2 linked regions of the Nothobranchius furzeri genome follow. The protein of the gene in region 1 interacts with the protein of each later gene in a pairwise test. Links are inferred from orthologs where the notes say so. Each region holds a gene or a part of one and is shown on either strand. Other genes may lie near its edges.

The links.
Region 2: the proteins of serine/arginine-rich splicing factor 11 (region 1) and hyi interact in binary tests that used the Homo sapiens proteins (3 or more experiments, as listed by UniProt). The two-hybrid records come from large-scale screens. The link is inferred for Nothobranchius furzeri from reciprocal best matches to the Homo sapiens genes SRSF11 and HYI.

Annotation. Positions count from the first base shown.
Region 1 is NC_091748.1:59,485,950-59,498,384, forward strand, and holds the start of serine/arginine-rich splicing factor 11, read left to right. Parts: upstream 1-5,620; 5' UTR 5,621-5,809; coding exon 5,810-5,931; intron 5,932-10,093; coding exon 10,094-10,227; intron 10,228-12,287; exon of another isoform or gene 12,288-12,435. Other genes in the region: vitellogenin-2, read right to left, coding at 1-72, 164-184, 480-519. UniProt on the Homo sapiens protein: May function in pre-mRNA splicing.
Region 2 is NC_091756.1:55,263,594-55,276,324, reverse strand, and holds hyi (putative hydroxypyruvate isomerase), read left to right. Parts: upstream 1-6,890; 5' UTR 6,891-6,956; coding exon 6,957-7,155; intron 7,156-7,224; coding exon 7,225-7,336; intron 7,337-7,414; coding exon 7,415-7,529; intron 7,530-8,115; coding exon 8,116-8,194; intron 8,195-9,565; coding exon 9,566-9,615; intron 9,616-9,681; coding exon 9,682-9,751; intron 9,752-11,628; coding exon 11,629-11,763; intron 11,764-11,841; coding exon 11,842-11,900; 3' UTR 11,901-12,207; downstream 12,208-12,731. UniProt on the Homo sapiens protein: Catalyzes the reversible isomerization between hydroxypyruvate and 2-hydroxy-3-oxopropanoate (also termed tartronate semialdehyde).

The sequences.
Region 1 (12,435 bases):
CCTCAGGCAGGCCCCCCAGAAGATGCCCTTCATATTTATACTCGTAGGTCTTTCCAGGAACAAACTCTGGGGCTGCAACAACATGAAACACATTAGAGTAATACAATAAAACCTTCTACAAACATGTGAACAGATTTCTTCATTTAATGTATGAATGACTTACCATAGCTCACCTGGGTACCAGCTGCCAAACAAAAATAAAAATGTTAATTAGATGTTGGGGAAACACAATAAATATGCAGGACAATGTACATTTGTTAAGGCTCCATAAAATAAGTTAAGGGCTTTTTTTTTCTTTGAGGCAAAACTGCACATGTTCTTCCCTCCTTCCGAATTTACTGGCTTGTTTTGGAAAAAGCTCTCATTGCATCCATCGTTTTTGAAGAAAGTTTGCTTTTTTGTTTTACATCCAAGCAGCTTTATCTCACAGAGCAAAAAGAAATGGAGGATGGTTGTTAAGAGCATGATAGCACACTCACCCACAAGGGCCACGGTAAGAGCTAGTACAAACACCTTCATGCCTGGTGGATGTGAACGTTTGCCATTTGACTTCTCCTTTTATAAGGCCAGTTGTTGCTGACGTTCAAAAGGTAACATGAACTAAAACATCGACTGGCATTGCTGCTGGTGTTACCATGCCCTGATCACAATGATAAGGCTGAGTAAATAAACCAAATAAAAGCATCACTAATAAAAACATCTAAACCTTTCTGAGATTTGAGGGAAATTTTAATGTTTTCAGGTAAAGTGAAGGAAGAACAAAAAATGTTTGTTGGCTTTAAACTCAAAACGCTGTTGTAAGTAAATCGTGTCCTAAAGGTCTGGTGTAGACGTGAAGCAAACCGTGTCATTATGGCCTGACCTGTTCTTCTGTCACAATTGTGTCATCTCAGATTAGGGACTGTTGACCCTCCAAAGGTTCAGCATGTTTGTTTAACTTTCATTACCTTAAACTGATCAAGTGTTCTAAACATAACTACAAAAAAGTAAAGTATGCATAGAGTCAACATAAGTTCATACACACATGACTAACTGCCTACATCCATTTGAAAAATGTATTACTTTACACCACAGGGAAAAACAAGTTAATAGGAAAATGTGCACAACTGTTGTTTAGAGGGAGTTTGTTCATAGCAGAAAGCATCATGTGGCACTAAAAAGTCAGTTTATGAGCACTTGTGTTGTTTTGCCTTAAACCAGGAGATCAAGAAGACGTTCATAAAGTTACACTGTCTTGCTTTATAGAAACAAACTTCAAACTGTTTATTAAAGTGACAATGTGTAGTTTTTACCATTAATCTCTGGAAATATCCATCAAAATGTTGTAAATGAATTAAAAGATGCCCAGTTGTTGAAAATATTGGCAGTTTCATCAAAATCTGTTCTAAAATACATGGACGCGGGTCAAAGTCTCTGGGGGGCACCATATTGGATGCCATGTTTCCTCTACAGGAGCCTGTGAGGACAAAACACATTTACTGATTTATAACAAATGATTACTAAACTTTCACCAATAATAAAAGTCATTGTTTTACACATTTACGTCTTATCTCATTCCCAGTGATGAAAGGGAGTCTGATGTTCTTGTTATTTTGCTGGAGGCTGCACTCCCAGGGATTTTTGACCCTAATGGCCATCTGTTGATAAGGTCTTATTTGAACACAAAAATAATGCTTGCTTGCAAAGATTTAGGACAGTATTGCCCCCTATCACCAGGGTAAACACACACTGTCACTTTAAAGACTGAATCCAACATTTATCATGGCCTTTTAGAAAAGTTTTTAAAAAGCGTAACAAGTTCTTGCAGGAATCCTTTTCTGTAAGTTTTCCTCTGGTCTGCACAGAGACAGAAATTGGCGACATTTGTATGACTATGTGTCGTACTCTTTCCTTCTAACCCTTTACCAGTCCAAACTGGTCCCAACATGTTAGGGGTGGCGGTTCTCGAGGGCCATTGTCCAGCGTGTTTTAGTAATTTCCCTGCTCCAACACATTTGATTCAGCTTTTCGTTCATGAGCTCACCTTGCTCTGCAGAAACATTTTGTTATCCTGCTGATTAAAATCAGGTGTGTTGGAGCAGGAAAAAACAAAGACATGCTAGATAGCAGCCCCAGAGGACCACTATGGCTCACGCCTGCATTATATGAACCGCTCCCTGAATCAGTTTCAGCACTAATGGACAAGAAAATAAATCAGCATTTTTCCACCTTAAGCAGCCAATCGTTCTTCAATAGGAAATGAAAGTTTTACTTGTTTTCTACATTCGTCACACTGATGTTAAATAAAAAAACAACACTCTAACCAGAACCCTCGTGTGTCTTTTCTTAAAGGGACTTTACGGAGTTTTGAATTTTTATGCTCGCGATTGCCCCCTCAGGCCAAAAGCGTAACGGCAGCTTCAATAGTAGGCTCGTGCACGAGGCGCGCATGCTGTACGTGCACACTCCTTAACGAAAATAACAGCAGAGACAGTCCCTTGTGTGTGTGTGTGTGTGTGTGTGTGTGTGTGTGTGTGTGTGTGTGTGTGTGTGTGTGTGTGTGTGTGTGTGTGTGTGTGTGTGTGTGTGTGTGTGTGTGTGTGTGGCCAGGAGGACAGAGGACAGGAGAACGCGCAGCTAATTAATTAAATAATTTGGTTCTGTACCTTTCTCTTCAGCACAGCCAACAACGGTTTATGATGGGTCAGTCCTCCTGCATGCTCAGATCATGCCCTTCCCTTGCTTGAAAAATTGCTTCAAAATGAAAGTTGAACCCACATCTTTTTTGTCTGTGAATTCAATGCCGTTTGGTGAGTCTCAAATAAAAATTTGGGCATCTTACTGTGAAAAAATATACCATTAATGTAAAAAAGAAACTCTAAATTAACTATGTTCACACCCAGAATCAAACCCAGGTCATCTGCATGGGAGTCAGGCATCTTACAAGGTGAGCTACACTCTAGTAACATTCACAGTATCTGTAACATTTATATCCTTAATGACACCTGAAACAACGTTCAAAGAACGGTTCGGAGCGAAAATGGCTATTTTGTTGCAAATTTGCAGGAAATATCTAGAAGAAAGTTCTACAGAAAGTAGCTAAGGGTCCTCAAAAATGTAGCTAGCTTTGTCACTAGGTGTTAGGAACAGCGACATAGACTAAAGCTATAGCAAATGCTACGGACTATGCCTGAACGTGAACGTGCATGAAGCAGCCTGCTCGACCCGAACAGCTCTCTTTTTCTGTGATTTTACAGAAAAACAGGCAATCACAGTACAAATGCCAGGGCTCATTCTACAGGACCAGAGCATTGCAGGAGAATGTATGAAGAAGAAATTTATTATTTCTATACATGTGTTGGCTGTCAAACTTCCATAATGCCCCTGTAATGCTGTCTTCTGGAATTCATCTGGTCTTGGTGGATCTTATCTATAAAAACAACTAATTATTTTTCTGTCTTAAAAGAGCTGTAAATACAGTCGGGGTGCGTCTCTTTGGTTTGTTATCCAGATTATCACTGACATTTTCAATATTTACACATTTGTTCACTTAAAAAATAATCTTGTGATTTTATATAAATATGTATTGAAAGACACATATTTAAAACTTTGTGAGTAGGCTATACAATCACATCATCTAAGACTTCACTGTTTAAGAATTATTACTAAACTGAAGTCAGCAAAGTAAACACTAATGAATTAATGTTAAGCTCTATTTTCGTTGTCTGTTCAACCCTCTAGAGGTTCGTTCTCTTCACTGAACTCAGTTGCTGCACCAGAGAGCTCAAAAGTCAGACTGAACCAGTAAACATGATGGAGAGACTTAATTAAACAAAGACCCACTTGTCACTGTTCTACATCTGAAAGGTCATGGGTCAAACTGACCTGTGATTAAGTGGCAGGTTATGTAATGTTCATTATGATTTGGTTGGTAAATTAGTCTAAATAATGGGAAAACCAGAACGTCTTCACTTATACAAACCAATTAATTACCAAAACTCAATAAATCTGTCAATCATCTGTGACTGATCAACAGTATTAAATCCATCAGCTAAAGCAGGAACTAGCAGCAGATTTTCTGGTGCTAGTTCTGGGCATCACTGGGCATCTTTGTAGTGCTGTAGCTAGCTCTAGTTACAGCACTACAAACATACCAGAATATACTCACCACAGGGCAAAACTACATCCAAGGTAGGGGATTTTAATTAATCAAATTAAGTTTTGCTAGGTAATATAAATAAGTATATTAAGTTACAACATTTCAACAGCATAGGTTTATATTTTATTAATCAAACATGTCTGATATAAAACTATTAGTTCTTAGTTCAAAGACCAGTAAATACCCAACTGCGTCTAATAAACACTCAAACATTAATACAGATATTGATTTCAATTTTTTTTCTGTTTTTATGTACCAACGGTCCATATTTTTTTCAATCAGGAAAAACATTTATGTATTTGGATTTCACAATGAGTGTAAACTATTAAAAAAAAATAAAAAACAACAACAGAATAGAAATGCAATTTTTTTCACTGGTTGTTCTTTGTCTAAATAAACTTTAATTAAAATATTTATAATCTGTCATTTGATTTGATACCACATACCTACCTACTATCTATAAGGGATTTACATGTTATATTTAGCTCAACTGGATGAAAACACAACTCAATCCTGTCAAGGGGAAGGATTCTGCTCTCTAGCGGACATAAACTGTTACTACAGGCAATGTTTATAAAGCTAAACAAGACACAACCAACTAGCTTTTCCTGTACGTTCCTTCAAAATAAAACGCACATAAAATACTTTGGGGTTTAAATGAGGGTGAACAACATAGTTGTTCTAAATAACGAGAATGTCAGAACGCATTCCCTTATAAAAACTACTTAACTACTGAAACTTAGTAAATCCATTTTAATTATTTGTGTTCAAAAAGGTTAATTCGACCAGCGCAGCAAGAGCTATCACCAGCTAGCTAAAGCGCTACAAACGTCTCAAATCATACGCTCTCTAGTGGCAAGAAGGTGAAGCGCAGGAATTTTAAACAATACAGTAAATTAAGTTAAAACTTTTAGCTTAAAAGTAAATAAATATAAGAAGTTACAAACTTTTAACAGCATGGGTTTATATTTTTCTAATTAAACATGTCAGATATAAAACTGCAGAAAAGTCATGTCACATTATGGCCAATTCTTACAGAAAATATCCATCCATCCATCAATTTTCGGCCGATTTACCGGGGTCGGTTCCGAGGTCGTGGGGACAGACGCGACCCCGAAAATATACAGAAAATATATTTTGCTAATATTACATTCAGTATACTGTCTGTATTTATGTTGGAGCTCTCTTACATAAATAGGTTATCTATTGACATGTTACAAAAGCCTTATTGTGAGTAAGAGTGACTTTGAAATGCGTTTCATTAACATTTATTTTTGTTGTTTTTTATTTTACTTATGTTTAAAATGTCCATATTTACGAAGTTAAATCTTTTTTTAAACCTTAGTGGGGTTGTACATTGTAATAACACGCTATAACCTACGAGTGTTCTACTTTTATAACCTAAACAGAACCGGACAAGATTTCATTAAAGAAAGTCTAAAATACCAGCGTAAAACACGACACCTGAAGGCAGCACAGCAGCCTCCGTAGTCACGACAGTTGCGGCCATTTGGCAGCTGCATTGTTACCCATCGCATTTTTCATCAACATCCTTTTATCTGGGGGAAGACATTTCTTGTATTCGCTTGATGAATTTGACTCTGTTAATATTTGATACTTTGATTCTAACTTCAAACTTAACTGCTTGCTTGTTTTTACTGCTGTGTAAAAATGAGTTCTAACACGCACGTCATTCAGGTGACAAATGTTTCTCCGAGCACAACGTCCGAACAAATGAGGACTCTCTTTGGATTCCTCGGAATCATAGAAGAGCTCAAACTGTTTCCACCTGAGTGAGTATCCTTGTGCTTTGCTCAGGTAAAGCTTTCCCAGCCCACAGACGGGGCTTCCGGAGGCCTAAAGCGACAAGCAGGCCTCGCTGTCTGCTAATGCTAATATTTACCCGCGCCTCCAGTCGCTCCTCGATCATAACACGCTTCGGGTAAATAAGCTTAATGCTAGAAAAACATTAGGGTTCCCAAACGGTTATTTAAATATCTCTTAACTGAAGTTTGAAACAAAACTTAACGTCTTGGAGAAAATTTGGCATAATATATTCTTGAATTTTATTTGGGTTATTTTTTAATAATAAAGAAAATACGAACGAGATATTGCAGTTTAGACATTTAATTTGATTCAAAAGGATTGTTTCCCACGTTGAGTCCACTACCTGCATGCTTACTGTGTTCCTGCTTTAGCACACGTGGTACAAATTGAGTTAATTAGCAAAAAACGTGCAGCAGAGGTAAATCATTCAATTAAATCGGGTGTTCTGAAGCAGGGGCGCAGCAAAGGTAGCGTTCACCCTAGGTTGGTGCCTGCAGGGACGAAATTTTGATTTCAGAAGTGGGGGGGACACAGCAGGCTTGTGCGGATTTGGGGTGGGGGGTGTTATGTAAAGACCCCTTGACACGTCACGTGCCCATCTCAATAATTTTTCCATCCTTATTGAAGTGCAGTTTTGGCTGTTGACAATGGATAGGCCATTGTATTTATTGTTTTGGGTCTTTTTTTATTGTTTTTGGTGCAACATTTTCTAACAGGGAGTGAGATTCCTTTTTTATTTAATTTTTGTTTGTTATTTTTATTCATTTAGAAGTTCTGGTTCTGGACATTTCAATGTTAAATGAAGGTTTCTTTGTTGCATTTTAAAGGGTGTACTTGCATTATTATGATATATTAACATTATATTAGTGGTTATTTTGGTCTAGATAATGTTGACAATATCGTTTATCATCAACAATTTGTTGGACAAAATATCATCCAGCAAAATGTGTTACTTTCCCAGGCCTAGTCAAAAGTATAAAAATTATTTATACATAAACGGTCCCTCCTGAGTAGGGCTGCAACAAACGATTATTTGGATAATCGATTAATCGGATGGGGTCTCGACACGATTAATCGGATTACATAGGGACATTTTTTAAAACTGCTAGGGAAACGTTATTTTTCTCCTTCCTTCCTTCACTTAAACACATTATTAGAAAACAGTTCAATAGCAGAAAACCAACATGCCATCACCTAAATTGTCTTATAAGGTGTATAGACAGAGACCTTAAGCTACACCTATCTGTGACCTAAAATGCTTGGTCCAAGTTAAACAGCTTAAAGAGCAAGTCAACCCCTACCAGAGTCTAACTCCACTCCCGCTTCATGTTTGAAAAATGCAACACATGCTGTTGCCTGGCAGACCGAGAGGGCGGAGCCGCTAACAAATACACACACACTCAGGCTCACGACAGCATTGTGACATCATAATGTACCAGTTTACATCATAGCATACTTCTTAGCCAATAGCGGTGGCAGATTTAAATTAAAATACAGTGCAGAGTTTTTACCTGACAACGGCACAACACTGCCAGTTTTAGGCAGAATATTTAAATTTTAACTAAGATGCACTGAAGTGCCAAATTATTGACGACACGTGTCTGCAGCACGATTAGACACTCGTTTATTTAGTTTATCAGCAAAAAAAAGTTTATTTGGGGGTGACTTGCTCTTTAAGGGCAATTCTCATCTGTTTTGTTTGATCTCATCTGTAGACATTTATTATAACTGGGGATGTCAAACAACTAATTTTTAAATGAAATTAAACATAGGCTGTGAATTAATCACTATTTCCAAAAATGACTGAAAAATACCAAATAAAACAAAAGTAAATGAATGCCATCCTCCTTGTGATGATGCCCTGGGCAACTGCCTTAAAGTCACATCAAGAAATGCTGCTGATCATTCCAATGATCCCAAATAGACTCACATTAGGACACATGAAAGCAACTGAACCCAAAAATATATTAACCAGTATATAACTACACGCACACAACACGCCTGCAGCAACAGTTAGGACTCCTCCCTCCCTTTTAAAAGCATTTTCGCTTGTGAGGACACTGTGGTTGTAAAACCACATGTTAGTAGTCTGGCCCCGGTGTGATCAACCAGTTTCTGCGGGAATGTGACGGCGGAACCGGTTCGCAGCGGCGCGAGTCCTCCCCCCCCCCCCCGCCTATCTAATAGCGTCGCGCTTACAATTTTATAGACTTTTTTTACGAGCTTAGGGCATGTCTAGCCTGTAATAATCCGGGGCTTGGGTGAATCACTTTTGAAAAGTTTTTTACTTACCCGGACACCGAGCTCTCTCCTTCCTCGCTGATGATTCTGACATGCTTGCGTTTAAGACGCTGCATCATCACCGTAGTATCCCCGTGCCATGCTAAGTCTGACCTACAAACGTTGCATGTCTTCGCCTGATTTAACTGAAAATGCTCCCAAACTTTAGAAGTTTTTGCTTTTTTGGGGTCTCGCTGCTTCTGCCATGTTCCTCTTACAAACACCTGCCGGCTCTCCACCGGTCTGCGCGCAACGGCGGGCAGGAGGGGAGGGGGCTTTTGGAAGAGTTGCGCAACACAATGAATCGATGACGCAATTCGTTGCCAACGCTTTTAGTAATCGATTTTCATCGAATTTATCGATTCGTTGTTGCAGCCCTACTCCTGAGATCTGGCCGTTTGTTCATTTGCTGTGTTAGAGGACATGCTGAACTAATGTTTTACACATGATCATCACCCTAACATTTGAGAGTATAAAAACATATTAAATATGTTTTTCCCCTTAAAAGTGTTTAAACAGTTGTTGCATTTCAACACACAAAAAAAAAAATGGAAAAAATAAGATAAATCTAATGAAAAGTGTACATCTTTGACATTAAGCTTAAAAAAAATCTGTTGACGATGATACTGTTCATTTTTCAGAGCTTTTTAATGTGAAAATATGCATTGCAATAGATAAGTTTACAATAAAGTTAAATGATAAAAGTTTTGAAGTTACACTTCTACTACTACTACTACTACTACTAGTAATAATAATTATGATGATAATAGTAATAATAAAAATAATAATAATTATAATAATACGAACAAATTGTGTCTGAGGAGTCAGTTATGTGGAGGAGATGAGTTTGTAAAAGTTAGTTTTGAGTATGTTTGTGAAGGAGGAGGTGAGTCTGAGCTTAATGCAGGTCTGTCACATGTTCCAACTTACGTTTTGACTTTGAAAGAAGTCTCTTATATCCACTTTTCGTTTTCTTGACATGCTGCCTCCTGGCTGTGCCTAACTACCAAAGACTCACAAATTAACACGTATTCAAATGTTATGTAATGGAAGCTGAGCTGAGCTCTGATATTACACAGCGTCTAGTTAACGATGTGACTCAGTACCGGTGTTCCCTAGCGGCTCCAAACTAGCAAAACAACGTGAGCACGTTCTGACTGTTTCCAACTTGAGTGACAGCAGCAACAGCCAATAATACGTTAGCAAGTATCAGCAGAGCCAATAGATTAGCTTTTGGGCGGGTCTAATAGTAAACCGGTTTCCGTTTCGGTCCTAGTGCTCAACCAAATCCATTTAATGGAGCGTAACATTGTTTTTGGATGGAAAAAAGTGCAGGGGACCAAAACTGCCTTTTGAAAAAGTGGGGGGGGACATGTCCCACCCGTCCCCCCCCCAAAATTACGTCCCAGGGTGCCTGAATCCTAAACCAGATAAATCACATCAATCAAGCAGAACATTAGTAGTTGTGAATAATTTGCTGATGCACTTGTGTTGATAATTTTGTTTATCCTTTCTGTTTCATTAATTATGTCTGGTTATTCCACTGGTGGGAAGTTTTCTCCATTTTAGCTAGGAATGAAAATGTTTCCAATAATAAAACCTGAATCCATTACTTCAGAAATCATGAGCACTTTGGAAAACACACAATTTTCATAAATATTTTCTCTTAATTTTGTTCGAACTCGACAGTCGGGTTTAATAAAAGCAACATTACCATCACGTGATCTTAAACTCTTAGGACGGTGATAAGAAAAAGAATCCCTGATGAGTTATCTGAGCAGCATGAAGAAGGCATGTTGGTTTTCCCTGTTTGTCTTCTTTGCACAACATATCTGTGTTTTCTTCCAGTGACTCTCCCTTGCCTGTGACTTCACGTGTCTGTTTTGTAAAGTTCCATGAGCCCGAGTCAGTGGGAGTGTCCCAGCACTTGACCAACACCGTCTTCGTGGACAGAGCTTTGATCGTGGTTCCTTTTGCTGAAGGTGGGTGTCTGTTTTTAGTCCTTCTGCCATCCACATGGCAATCACATTTGTAGGTGCAATGGATAGAATTGTAAGCATTAGCTGATTCCTTTTTTTATTTTTGTTTTATTTTATTTTTTTGCTAAGCTTATGTTGTGCTTGGCATCTCTAGGTATGTAAAAGGGAAATGTACATTTGTGTCTGTGTTTCACAATCTAGCTGTAAACTTCTCTCTCTGTTATTTGTGTTGTGGTTTTCGTAGTGGACAAGTCATTTGCAGAGAGATCCTTCCTTGCTGGCTGAAAGTGGTCCTCTGCTGCAAACAGGAGATTAGAAAAAATAACAGCCCCATACTCGCAAGCTCCCTTCTCTTTTTTTTGTTCTGCAGTAAAATAGTTTACTCTCTCTTCAAGACATCTATATATATATATATATATATATATATATATATATATATATATATGTGTGTATATGTATATTTTTTTTTTTTACGAAAAAGTGCTGCACAGCTCAATTCTTTGGGCAGGCAAGAGGGTGCTGGGCATTTCTTCACATGCGTCTAAATAATTGGTTATTATTTTAGTCCAAAAAGAGCAGGTGGACTGGTTAAAGATTTACAATAAATATAAACTGAAATGTTAATGTTTTTGTTTGTTCTAATGTTTGCAACAGTTTCGGCATCCAGCATTCAAACAGCATTTCTGCAAGAAATGCAATTTATCTAGTTTTTCTTTGGTAAACTAGCAGATGACTCTTCTTGTTTCAGCCAAGCTGCTTTTTCAGGTTTATTATTACTGAAAACAAGACATTTTGATCATATTCATAAATATTTTATATTATTTTTGCAGATAAGGTTATTTTAGAATGAAAAATAAAGTGAAATGTCTAAAATGGAGGCTTAATTTAAAGTTCTTTTTTGAAAACCAGTTTTTGCAATGTATCAGTTGGTTGAATTAGGCTCAAACATTTTCCAGTTGATGCCTGCGCTAACAGCACTCAGCAGCAAGTTTAAACTTACTGTAGAGTCACCATGCCCTTCTAAAATGCTTGTAATAAATAAATGCATTTATGCTTAGAACATTAGTAATGCTGCTCCTAAAACACTCGTCTCCTAAAAATAAAAGCACTACAGTTAAAAAGTTGCAGGGGTTTTCAGGCGCTGGTGGGTGAATACCTACTTTTGGGTGCAGTTTAGAACCATGATGGGAGCGGCACCCCCACCCTCTTAAAGGTGCCGCCGTGTGGGAGCGTGCACAGGGAGGCAGGTCCACACATCAGCTGGTGAAAACACGAGAGTCGTTTAAGAAACATTCTTAATGAAAAAGCATCAAGACCCTGGATGCTTGGAGTTAAATCACATTTTGAACTGAAATGATTGTCGCACCCCTAAAGTCGTAAACTATGTGCATGCTAGACTTTAAAAACTCAGAGGTGTGTATCGTGATCTACTGTTCTGATGAGGTGACGGTGGGACTGTTGGTAAGATTTTGTGCGGTTATTGATCAAGATGAAAACACACTGTTTGGCATTGAAATGCTGACTTTCCAGATTTACCATGAACACACAAGTCTTCAGGCTGTGTGCCTGATCCAGTGACTCACGTTTAACGGTGGTGTTTCTTTTGTTGTTGTGTTTTACAGTTCTTTTTCCTGGTTCAGCCAGCCCTATTTACCAGGCCCCGCTGAAATGCCACCAACAGTTTTGTCTTCTGCAGCCTTATCCTGTTTCTCAAGTGTCTTTTGTGTTGAGTGTGTGTGTGTGTGTGAGAGTGTGTGTGTCTCTTTCTCTCTCTTATTAAAATGTGAAACGTGTAAGATAAAAAAATAGCCTGTTTTCAGATTGCACAGCTATGGGTGATAATCTCATAGGATTTTCCTATGTGGTTCTCTTCAGCTCTGATCATATTTTTAATCATTTGATTGTTTAGAACAGGTAATTTACGCTGTTTAGTGTTTTGTGTAACATGCTTTTGGTTTAAGCCTAGTAGGACTTTTAATTACCAAACAATTTGGTTGCCGAGTGTAATTTAACCACGGGATCAACAAAAGGCTGGAAAAGGTAAACGTGAGCCTTTAGTGTTTCTGTAGTGGTTTTGGTAAGTGATGTTGAAATGTATCCCTGTCTTCACACCCAAATCATGAACTTTGTTTTCTGTATCTCAATGTTTTTGTGTGCTTTATAGCGAAGCAGCCGGCGCGAGTCGCTTGTTCATAATGAAATTTGACAGCA
Region 2 (12,731 bases), on another chromosome or scaffold:
ACCATGGTCCTTGAACCAGGTGCTGGTGGTTTTGGCACTGTGTGCAGGTGCCAAGTCCTGTTGAAAGGTGAAGTCTGCATCCCCATAAAGTTGGTCAGCAGCAGGAAGCATGAAGTGCTCTAAAACTTCCTGGTAGACGGCTGCATTGACCCTGGACCTCAGGAAACAGAGTGGGCCAACACCGGCAGATGACATGGCACCCCACACCATCACTGACGGTGGAAACTTTACACTGGACCTCATGCAACGTGGATTCTGTGCTTCTCCGCTCTTCCTCCAGACTCTGGGTCCTTGATTTCCAAAGGAAATGCAGAACTTGCTTTCATCAGAAAACATAACTTTGGACCACTCAGCATCAGTCCAGTCCTTTTTGTCCTTGGCCCAGGCGAGACGCTTCTTGCGCTGTTTCTTGTTCAAGAGTGGCTTGACACACGGAATGCGACACCTGAATCCCATGTCTTTCATGAGTCTCCTCGTGGTGGTTCTTGAAGCGCTGACTCCAGCTGCAGTCCACTCTTTGTGGATCTCCCCCACATTTTTGAATGGGTTTGTCGTCACAATTCTCTGCAGGGTGCGGTTATCCCTAGAGCTTGTACACTTTTTTCTACCACATTTTTTCCGTCCCTTCGCCTGTCTGTTAATGTGCTTGGACACAGAGCTCTGCGAACAGCCAGCTTCTTTAGCAATCACCTTTTGTGTCTTGCCCTCCTTGTGCAAGGTGTCAATGATTGTCTTTTGGACAGCTGTTAAGTCAGAAGTCTTCCCCATGATTGTGGTGCCTTCAAAACAAGACTGAGGGACCTTTTAAAGGCCTTTGCAGGTGTTTTGAGTAAATCAGCTGATTAGAGTGGCAGCAGGTGTCTTCTATATTCAGCCTTTTCAGAATATTCTAATTTTTTGAGATACCAAATTTGGAGTTTTCATTAGTTGTCACTTATGAATATCAAATTTAAATGTAATGAACATTGGAAATACATTGGTCTGTGTGCATTGCATGAATATAATGTACAAGTTTCACGTTTTGAATGGAATTACTGAAATATTTTCAACCTTTTGATGATATTCTAATTTACTGGCCAGCACCTGTACTGTCAGATCCTCTTGGTTTCCTGGTACAGTGGGGGCGTTCGAGTGGACCCCAAGAGCTCTGTTCAGGAGATGTGAACCTACAGGTCAGGTGGTGTTTAATGACAGCTCCTCGGTATATCATCGGTTCCCTAACTAGTGGTTCCCTGCCTTTATTCCTTGAGGACCCTCTTTGAGTGTGTCCAAGGCAAGCCAAGAACTCCAACACTAATTTTTACCCAAATACATATATGTTAAAGGTTATTAATTACAAACTTATTACAGACATACAATGGTATAACTCTACAGTGTTTTGATTGTACTATTGAGTGTTATTGGACTTTTAAAATTTGGTTTTTACAAATATAATCACCTTCACAATTTTAGCACAGATAAAATTGTGGGAACCCTCTGCAATTAGTGGGAACCCCTTTGGGGTTCACGGACCCCAGATTGGGAACCACTGCCCTAACCCACGCCCAGGTTAGGTGATGCTGAAGCTCATGGGTGGTTGCAATTATGGAATAAATGGTAAATGACCCACACTGGTAAAGTCAGACAGAGAACTCTAAAGCACTTTACCATGCAGTCATTCATCCATTCACACACTGATGATGTAGCCACAGTTGCCCATGGGACACAGTGACAGAGGAGAGGTCGCCTTAACACAGATGCTACTGCATGGTGCCTCTGACCATCACCAGCAGCCAATATGTGTGAAGTGCCTTGCCCAAGGACACAGTGACTGACATGACTGACAGAGCCTAAGATTGAACCTGCAACCCACCAATTACAGGGCAAAATCCTAACACCTATGACATCATTGTAGTGAGGTGATTCAAAAGCTATGTCTCTCTGGTTCTCAATCTGATACAAGGAACTACTTGAACTTGTAATCAAAGACAGAAGTCAGTGAGAGATCTGTAGGTAAGAAAGATAATTTTAAGATGAACTCTAACCTCAACAGGAAGTCATTGTAGGGACTAGGGAGTGTAGGACAAGAGAGATGTGGAAACAGTTCCTGGATCGGGTCAGTGGTCTGGCTGCAGCATTTAGGACAGCTCAGAGGCATGGGAGAGATGATTTATGTAGTCCAGTGAACAGGGCGTTGCAATGACACAAAAGCATGAATAATGTTCTCTGATTCAGCAGATGAAACCATGTGATGTAGTTTAGAAATGTCCCTCAAGTGAGGAAGGAGTGAGAGAAATATCATTCTAAGTGAGGAATCAAATATAACACCCAGATTTCCAACACAAGACTAGGGTTTTCAGCAAAAGGAAGAGAGATCCTAAATGATGGTGCAACAATCATGATCTTGGTCCTCCTGGTGTTTAAAGAAAAAGAAAGAAAACAATCGTTTATATAGCGCCTCTCAAGATAAAACTCACAAGGCGCTCTACAAAAACAAAACAAAAATGTAAGTATAAAAAGATTTTTAAAATGATTAAAAATATGTTTAAAAAGGAAAAAAATGTAAGGAAAGGGAGAGAGCAAATGAAAAGGAAAGAGGGAAATCAATGGATCCTGGGAAAGGCGAAATAAGAACAGAATAAGGAGAGGGTGGTGATGAATGTCACATCAAAGCCAGCCTGAACAGGTGAGTTTTCAGCTGCTTTTTAAAGGAGACCACTGAGTCCACTGATCTCAGGCTCAGGGGGAGAGAGTTCCAGAGTCTGGGGGCCACAGCAGCAAATGATCTGTCACCTTTGACCTTTAGCCTGGTGCTGCACAACCAGTAGGCTTTGATCACTGGACCTCAGGGACCTGCTGGGGGTGTAGGGACTAAGAAGATCACCAATGTAAGACGGTGCTTGTCCGTGTAAGGCCCTATAGACCAGACCCAAATTTTTTAAATGAACCCTGAAGTTGACTGGCAGCCAGTGAAGCTGGAGGAGAAGCGTGGTGATGTGGGTGTGTTTGGAGGACTTGGTCAGAAGCTGAGCACAGGCATTCTGAACCACCTGTAGACGGTCCAGGGAGGTTCTGCTCAGACACGTGAAAAGAGAGTTACAGTAGTCTAAGCGTGAGGAGATGAAGGTGTGGAGAACTGTCTCAAGTTCAGAGCGGGACAGAATGGGACTCAGCAATGTTCCTGAGATGGAAGAAGGAAGAGCAAACAAGAGAACTGACATGAGAATCCAGGGTGAGAGCTGGGTCAAAGGTCACACCAAGATTCCTGACAGAGGGTTTGATGTGAGAAGTAAGCTGACCAAGAGAGTCTCTGACTTTGGGAACCAGCTTGTCTGGGGCACAGATGAGGATCTTAGTCTTATCTTCATTCAGCTGAAGAAAGTTCCCATCCAGGTTTTGATAGAGTCTAAGCAGGTGTGTAACAGCTGCAGCTTAGACATCTCATGGGACTTAAAGGAGATGTACAGTTGGATGTCATCTGTATAAAGATGGTAGGAGATTCCTTTAAAGGACCTCAGAATGTGCTGAAGAGGGAGCAGATAGAGGAGGAAGAGCAGAGGCACCAGCATAGAACCTTGTGGGACACCATGGGTAAGGGAGGTGGTGGAGGACCTAAACTTGGAGACTGCCACAGAAAAGGAGCACTCAGAGAGATAAGAGGAGAACCACTCCAGAGCAGTTCCTGATAGGCCTACCCAGTCTCTCAGCCTCTCCAGTAGCAGGTGATGGTCAACAGTGTCAAAGGCTGCAGTCAGGTCCAGCAGGACCAGAACAAAACAGTCCCCTGCATCACTGTGAGTCAGAACATCATTGGAGACCCTAAGAAGAGCTGTTTCAGTGGAAACAAGGCAAGATAGTTGCTGGTGATTCAGTCATTGATCTGGGATAAACACTGGACTACATCTTCTAAAACATGTGTGATAGGGAGTGTAGAGCTGTAGAAAGAAAACTATGGACCCAAGACTTTGCAACACCACAGATTAGAGAGGCAATTTTAGAGGAAAATCTGTTCTCATTACCAGAAAATGTCCCATCACAAGACCGGAAGAGAGGCAGTTCAAAGCAGAACTAGCAATAACTGCTAAAATGTTAAACCTATTAGTTAGAATCGCTTGGTAAGAGTTAAAGGCAGCACAGTTCCCCGTGTCAGACACCATTTAGTCGAAAACATGTCCATGTTTATGCAGACTCCTGCTGCAGCATAAAGTTTCTGGTTTTGTTTATGACGTGTAATTAGTGTGAAAACTATCCCCTTCTGGGAACTGGTGGTATTTTCATCCCAGGAAAAAGAAGCTTCTGCTGGTCTTTTGCCTCAGAAAACACATGATGTAACCTTAGCATTGTCTCACCCTGCATTCTTGTTAAGTTCCTCCCACCCTCTTTAATTAAATGGTCAATTAACACATCTGGCTGCATGATGTTGAAGTTGGTAGCCTCACCACATGAAGGTTGTAGGTTCAAATCCCAGCTTCAGCTTTTCTGCGTGGATTTTGTACATTTTCCCAATACATGTGTGGGTTTCATTTTAATAGTGACTCTAATTAAGTCAGTGGAGTCCATTTCCGGTCCTCCAGGGCCACCGTCCAGAGTGTTGGTTGTTTCTCTGCTCCAACGCAACTGAATCAATGGCTGAATCACCTGTTCATCAGTTCAAGTTTAGCAGAAGCCTGTTAATCACCTGCTCATTAAAATATCTAGATATATTTCTGTGTTGAGCAGAAATATCTCTGGAATATACAGGATGGTGTTCATGGAGGGCCAACATTGGATAGTCCTGCTGTAAAATTGTCATTAGTGAAAACGTGTTGATGGCTGGTTGTGTCATTTGTCTTTGTGGCCCTGTGATCAGCTGGAGACCTGCACTGTGGGTCTTTCAGGTTTCTTGTTGTGGGTGGTCTCACGTTTGGATGCTATTCCTTTTAATTAATTTTTACAGAATTGTTTCGTCATCATCATCTCCACAGCTCAGGTAGAACAGAGTTGAGTCATTCACAGTGTCTGTTGTGTGATTCATGATAACAATGAGAAACGGTCATGAACATTTTTTATGGAGACCAGGTTTTGCTCTGGAAGCTGTGAAGAGACTTGTCTCCAGCAGATGCTGCTGGGATTAATTCAGCCGAGGAAAGTTCAAACAAAACTTGGACCAATCCCAATTCTACACTTGCTCCCTTCAATTGCGCCATCTCGGCCAGGAATGCGAGTGCATAGGGTGTCCTGATTCTCAAGTGCGGAAGTTGATCACGCCCCTTTTGCACTCTTGATCCACACTGTATCGATGTGTGCTTGGGTGAAGGGTATTACCCACAATCCATTGCTGCAGGGGAAAAGCAAAGTGGCTTTTCAGAAAATATTTATTTTTAAATGAAACTAGTTCATTTTAGGATAATTCACTGATGCTCTGTATGTTTTAGACAAAGCAGCAATGAATGTAAACTTATTTCAAATATTTGGTTGTTTGTTTGAAAGTTGTTAAGTGTTTTTAAAGTATCACAGCGACCAGAATCCCAGCATGTGTTGTGGTCGATGACGCAATGCTCCCTGTCCCAATTCGGCAATTATTTGCACACTTGTGTACCTCGCACGTGTAGCCTTACTGCACACGTCCACAAGTGTGCAGTAAGCACAGAAGACTGCAGGGCAAGTATTGAGATTTGGCCATACTCATCGGCCCCACCTTTAAAATCCAACATGGCTGGCTTTTGCAAAGCCTGGTGTAAACTGCAGTTAATGGTTTTATATAAACGTTCAATCATTCAAAGGTCCATCTGTTCTTATTCAGTGAGCTGTGACAAGCCAGAATGTGAAGCCGGATTATTTGTGTCTGTTTTTCTCTGTAGACAAATACTTTGGCCTTTTTTAAGGAAAAAAACATCCCATTCCATCCCAAAGCCTATGGAGTATTTGTGTAATACAGAGGGAACGCTTGAGAGGCTCCAGAACTCCTGCCGGTTAAACAAATCCTACAACAAGCCACCAGATGGTCTTCTCTAGGATACAGCTCCTGAGGGGATGGATGCTGGAAAAACAGCCAATATTAGACATAGTCAAGCATTTCTCAAGGTGCTTCTGTGGCCAGATGGCACAGAAAATATTTCTGACCCACAGGACAAGAGAGATTACGGCACAGGATCTTTCTTAGCAAACTTACCACAGAATCACTGTAGCCTGTCTAATGCACAGTTGGGTTATTCTGTAACAAATTAAATCGAATTCACTCATTTCATGGGAACATTTGCATGTCTACATTGCTTCATAAGAAAGAAAAAGACACAAAAAAAACCATATTATGAAATGGTCTACTTTAGGTTATGGTCCATCAGAACCAGTACCTCAGAACAGCAGCTGGACTATCAAACACTCACATTCCTTCAAAATTTTACTTTTCTTGTCATCACGACTCACCCTGATAAGCATTTGATCTGGTTCATTTGCCCATCCTCACATTGTTCTCGTTTTGATTCTGTTCTCAACCAGACTACCTTAAAGGTGAATTCCTTTCTGATCTGTTTCCAAACTGAGATACAAGGGCAGCTTACATCCTTCACCGACCACATGGACTATAGGTCTAGGACACGAGCTCCAGGTGAGGCCAGGATACCTGAGCCAGGATCAGGGTCTACTGCTACAACCTACAGTCCAGTAGGTGGTGCAGTAGGTCTGTGAGTGTGAGATGACGGCCCACAGACGAAGAGTACTGCATTGTGGGTCTGTTCCTTTTCAGTTGAACGGGTTATGATCCGTTTAGGGCGGAGTTTACTAACAGCAAGAAACATAAATAAACCAAACTTGTATGTTGGAGGTATAAGTTCAGCAACAGGTAGGCCACTTTGTGGGCGGAGCATGAGGCGGGCAGCCGCGTGAAACAGTACAAACTCCTCCCACTCGGCGCGCCGATTGGCAAGCCGGTTTATAAATCGAGCGCATCCAGATCTGCGTGAACGCAGGTTCGTTGGTCTCTGAACTTCAAGCCCAACATGGCTCCACTGAAGTTTAGTGCGAATATCTCCTGGCTGTTCTCTGAGCTTCCAGACTTCAGTCAGAGGATGTCGGCGGCCGCTGCGGCCGGGTTTCAGGCTGTGGAGGCCGCCTGGCTCTACGACGCGGACCTGACGGAGCTCCAGAGAGCCAGAGAGGCTGCAGGAGTGGAGGTGGTCCTGATCAACACCCCGCCTGGTACTGGAGCTCCACACTAGCAGCATAGCACTGTAGTTATGTGGTTAACTATCTGTGTGTGTGTTACAGGAGACGTTAAAGCAGGTGATCTTGGTCTCGCAGCAGTTCCAGGGAGGGAGGGGGACTTTAGACAGGGTCTGGATCAGACTTTAAAGTATGCAAAAGGTTTGAACTGCAAGATGTAAGTTATCAGCCCAAGCAAGTAAACACACACACACACACCTGCAGGAGGAACAGGCTTTTCTCTCTCACCGGTCAGGATCCACCTGATGGCAGGTCGGGTTCCTGTGGACTCCCACAGACACCTGGTTGCTAAGGAGATGGAGGCTGTCTTTGTGCAGAACCTAAAGTATGCTGCTGACATCCTCTCTAAGGCAGGTACCAGTATACCTTCTGTTCTGTTCAACATGTCATCAGCTCTCAGGAGACTGGTTCACTTTGTAGAAGACATGGACATAATTGATCACCAGGAACTGACACAGGGAAGTCCAGTAATGATCTCAACTTTAGGCTGTTCAGTTCAGCCAAGACGTGTCTTCTGCTTGAGAAAGTTAAATTAGTGTAAAATGTATTATATACAAATTTTAAAAATATAATTGTAAATACAATATAGTGTAAATTACTTGAGTAATTGTAGTTCAACATTCAAAGTCCTACTATCACAATGTTTACATCCATCCATCCATCATCGATCCCTGCTTATCCACGCAGGGTCGCTGGGCACAATGTTTACATTTTAGCTAAATTCAAACATAAGAATATCAGTAGAATACTTCATCCACATACTTTTCTTCATCAGCGGGGGCTTCGTCCATCTGCAGATCAGTGGTGGTACAATAAAGTTGTAGAAACTGTGCCTGGGCTTTGGGAGCATGAGTGAAATATCACAGCATAGATCAGTAAACTTCTCAGTGGAGATAAACGGATATCAGTAATAATCACAAATGATGGTCGTTACAGGAGGGAATCACAGGACTGATAGAACCAATCAACACCAGGATCACAGACCCTAGGTACTTTCTGGACTCTCCTCACCAGGGTAACACACACACACACACACACACATATGATTTTTGTACCCTTTTAAAAGGAAACCAAGGTTTTCATTTTTCAAACTGTTCTTTTAAAAACCAAGAACAGGATTCTTAAAGGGACTTTACGGAGTTTTGAATTTTTATGCTCGCGATTGCCCCCTCTGGCCAAAAGCATAACGGCAGCTTCGATAGGAGGCTCGTGCACGAGGCGCGCATGCTGTACGTGCACACTCTTTAACGAAAATAACAGCTGAGACGAAGCTCTGTGAAGCTGACGGGGGTCAGCTTCACAGAGCTCTGAGAGCTGACAGTCGTGTGTGTGTGTGTGTGTGTGTGTGTGTGTGTGTGTGTGTGTGCGTGCGCGCGCGTGCGTGCGTGCGTGTGTGTGTGTGTGTGTGTGTGTGGCCCGGAGGACAGAGGACAGGAGAACGTGCAGCTAATTAATTAAATAATTTGGTTCTGTACCTTTCTCTTCAGCACAGCCGACAAAGGTTTATGATGGGTCAGTCCTCCTGCATGCTCAGATCATTCCCTTCCCTTGCTTGAAAAATTGTTCCAAAATGAAAGTTGAACTCACATCTTTTATATCTGTGAATTCAATGCCTTTCGGCGAGTCTCAAATAAAAATTTGGGCATCTTACTGTAAAAAAATATACCATTAATGTAAAAACGAAACACTGAAACAACCATGTTCACATCCAGAATCGAACCCAGGGCTTCAGCATGAAAGCTCGAAATTTTACTAGGGGAGCTAAATCGCCAGTGGCGCCTTCTGTATCTGTAACATTTATATCCTTGATCACAGCTGAAACGACGTTCAACGAGCGGTTCGGAGGGCTATGCCTGAGCGTGAACACGCATGAAGCAGCCTGCTCGACCCGAGCAGCTCTCTTTTTCTGTGATTTTACAGAAAAACAGGCAATCACAGTAAAAATGCCAGGGCTCATTCTACAGGACCAGGGCATTGCAGGAGAATGTATGAAGCAGACATTTATTATTTCTATACATGTTTTGGCTGTCAAACTTCCATAATGCCCCTTTAAGTTTAGATTAATTATGGACTTTCTTTCTAAAGGTCAGATTTCCACCATTCTCTAACACACTGAGCTTCAACCATTTTGTTTTAGCTACAACCAAAAACTTCTGGTTTAGAAATAGAACTAAAATAATAAAAAAAAAGAGATAAAATACAATCAACTGAAATAAACACCAGTGTTGGATGTTGGTATGAAGTCTGTTTACCATTTCCACATTTACACTCATGGGCCTAAATCAGACTGTACATAGATTCTGGGAAAGCGACGAGTCTTGTTGTAAATGTTTTAAATGAGATATTTGACGGCCTTCATTTCTGTGTTCTGCTGGTTCTTCTGCAGCGGCAGCAATACTGGAGAGTGTTGGAAAACCCAACATCAAGCTACAAATGGTGCGTATGTTGGAAATGTGTTTCAGTTTGAGAGAAAACGTTTGTTAAACATCCCACCTCTTTCAGGATGTCTTTCACTGGCAAATAATGGATGGAAACCTCACACAGAACATGCACAAGTATTTCCCCCTGATAGGTGAGTCCATTTGAGGGGCTGTGAACGAGCCGTTTCTCCCCTCCCTGAAAACACTGATCAGGTGATCTAGGTGGGCCGTCCTCTCACCTGAAGCAAAGCTTAAAAAGCAACTGCAAGCACTTTCAAACAGACTTGAATCTGCACCGAAGGGCCTTGAGTGTCTGTTAGTGCTTGTTTTTGTCTTCTTAAACTTTTGCTTTGCACTGTCTTCCATTTGGAAAGAGAAGGAAACTCATCTGTGTGTAATCCTGTTGTCTTGTAGCTCCAGTTTGGGCCAGCTGAAAACAATAAGTGCAATCAGGGGCTGTGATTGAGCTGTTTCTCCCCTCATCAGGTGCTCTAGGTCTCAACCATTGCAATCAGCTGCTGCATGAACACCTGTTTCCAACTAGTCTCTCTGACATATAAAAATGGATGAAATCCCACCATCTCCAACTCAACCTCTCTAAAACTGAACTACTTGTCACCCCTTTAAAGATCATGTCTGTTGCTCGTTCATGCCGCTTTGCACTGTATAACATAGGAAAGATCAGACCATACCTAACACAACATGCCGCCCAGCTCCTGGTGCAATCTACTGTCATCTCCTGCCTCGATTACTGCAATGCCCTTCTAACTGGTCTTCCAGGCTGTACTGTGAGACCTCTTCAAATGGTCCAGAAAGCAGCGGCGCGTCTGGTCTTTAATCAGCCAAAAAGAGCACACGTCACCCCTCTGTTCATTGAGCTCCACTGGCTACCGCTAGCAGCACGCATCAAATTCAAATTTTTAACACTAGCATACAAAGTCCGAGACGGTACGGCTCCCATCTACCTGAATCCTTTTGCAAAGGCTTACGTCTCGTCCCAGCTGCTGCAGTCATCACAGGATCGTCGGCTAGCAGTGCCTACACCACGCTCAGGACGATCCAGACTCTTCTCATGCATCGTTCCACAAATGTGGAATGACCTTCCAAGCACTACCAGAACAGGGGCTTCCTTTTCAATTTTCAAGAAACTCCTGAAGACCCTGCTCTTCAGAGAGCATCTTCTTACCTAGCACCCTCTCTGCACCCGTACCTCCCCTCTCTACTGTCCATTCCTTGTTCCCTCCTCTCCATGACTGATGTCAAGTTGTTGTTGTTATTGTTGTTGTTAGCCTCAAGGGCAACATGCCGATTATCACTTGTAAGTCGCTTTGGACAAAAGCGTCTGCTAAATGCATAAACAAAAATGACAGATGAGATCTCATGTCTGGTCTTATCTTCAGAGGCATCGACGAAAGCCGAGTCATCTCCTCTTTAGTATTCCTGCTGATGGGTGGCAGAGGATCTAAAACTGGCTTTGAATTTTAGATCTTGGTTTTGACCAATATATCTTATGCTCTGGTCTATAACATAGCCCAGATGAAGGTTGGTGGAAAAGTAGTTCTTGTCATCCAGGTGGCAGAAAAATCCTGCTTTGTCAATTATAAAAAAACACATTGGTTTCATTGTAGACAAATTTTACATTTTATATGCATTTTCTTTTAAATATGCACCTAATAGCTTATATCTGTTCTCAGTGTTCCTCGCATACAAATGTTTAGGGTTTCTGGCATCCTCAGGCCTCTGATCTGCCTTCATAGATTCAAACATGGTTTCAAAATCTGCCCTGTAAACCAGTGTGTTAGCTGCTCCGGCTGGAGAAAGAACCAGGTGGTTATTGGGCAGAACATTTAGATGGCTCCAACTAAGTTACGCTGGTTCTGACTGGAGTTCCACAATGAGTCATACCTCATTTATTGGTGTTAAACACAAAGTCCACTGGCTTGTATGTTCATGTAGGACAACATTTGTCCAGCTGAGCTAAGCATGCACAAATAAGACAAGGCTTCTTCTGAATGGTTCTGGTTCTCAGGTCATGTTCAGGTCGCCCAGGTTCCTGGCCGGAACGAACCCGACTCTGACGGAGAGCTGAACTACAGCTACCTGTTTCGTACGCTGGAACACCTCGGCTACCGGGGTTACATCGGCTGTGAATACAAACCCTTTGGTCAGTCTTCCCTCACCTCTAATAGTTGATCCACTAATTTAAAACATGTCGGCTTATTGTCTCATCTGTCTACTGCAGAGTCCACCACCAAGGGTCTGGGTTGGATCCAGCAATACTGGACACACGGAGCACAATGAGCTCAGACAGAAGACACCTATCTGGAGTTATTTCTGTTTTAACTGCAATGACCCTATAAAGATGATCAGCCACAACATTAGAACCACTCGGCCCAGCTCAGCATTCCTTTGGAGACAACCAAGTCCTCCTGGTGGGGCAGGGGTTCATTGCTGTATGTTCTGAAGGACCATCTGAAAACATCATCAAAACTCAGACCAAGTCTTGTTGAAGATATTAAACTGAATAATTTAATCTTTAGTTCTATAATCACGTGTAGAACTGATGCCTTAATATGCACAAATATTAAACATTTAAATGTTAACGAGACTTCGATGTAATGTACATGATTACATTTGTTTACTGAAGAGGTCTGCATGACTTATTAGGGGTGGAACAAAATGAAGGTTGATAGAGGCTTTAAAAATGACCTGTTTCACTTCGACAGCAAAGCCACCCCTGAGCAGCTTCTTGTTCCTTTAACCACAGCTGCTAATAACATTAAGTAGAAGGTTCCTGAGACCAAAGCCCACCTAGACCTCATGTACCCAAGAGGAACTGTTCCCCCAGTTGATCAGGTGGTAGAAAATGAGCCAAGGCTGGAGTTCACCTAAATGCTCGAGCTCCTGGGAGAACACCTTTTGAACCGACGAGACAAAACTGGAGCTTTTGTTAAATCACCTAAGCTGTAAGAACACTGGACCTAATGTGGAGACTATGTTCTGGACCTGCTATGCTGCATCTGGACCAGGATGTCTTAAATCTGTTTAAGGTCCAATAAAGTCACAGGTCATGACTCTTCCAACAAGATGAGGCTAAACCTACAGCTAAAAACACCCAAAAGTGGATCAGAA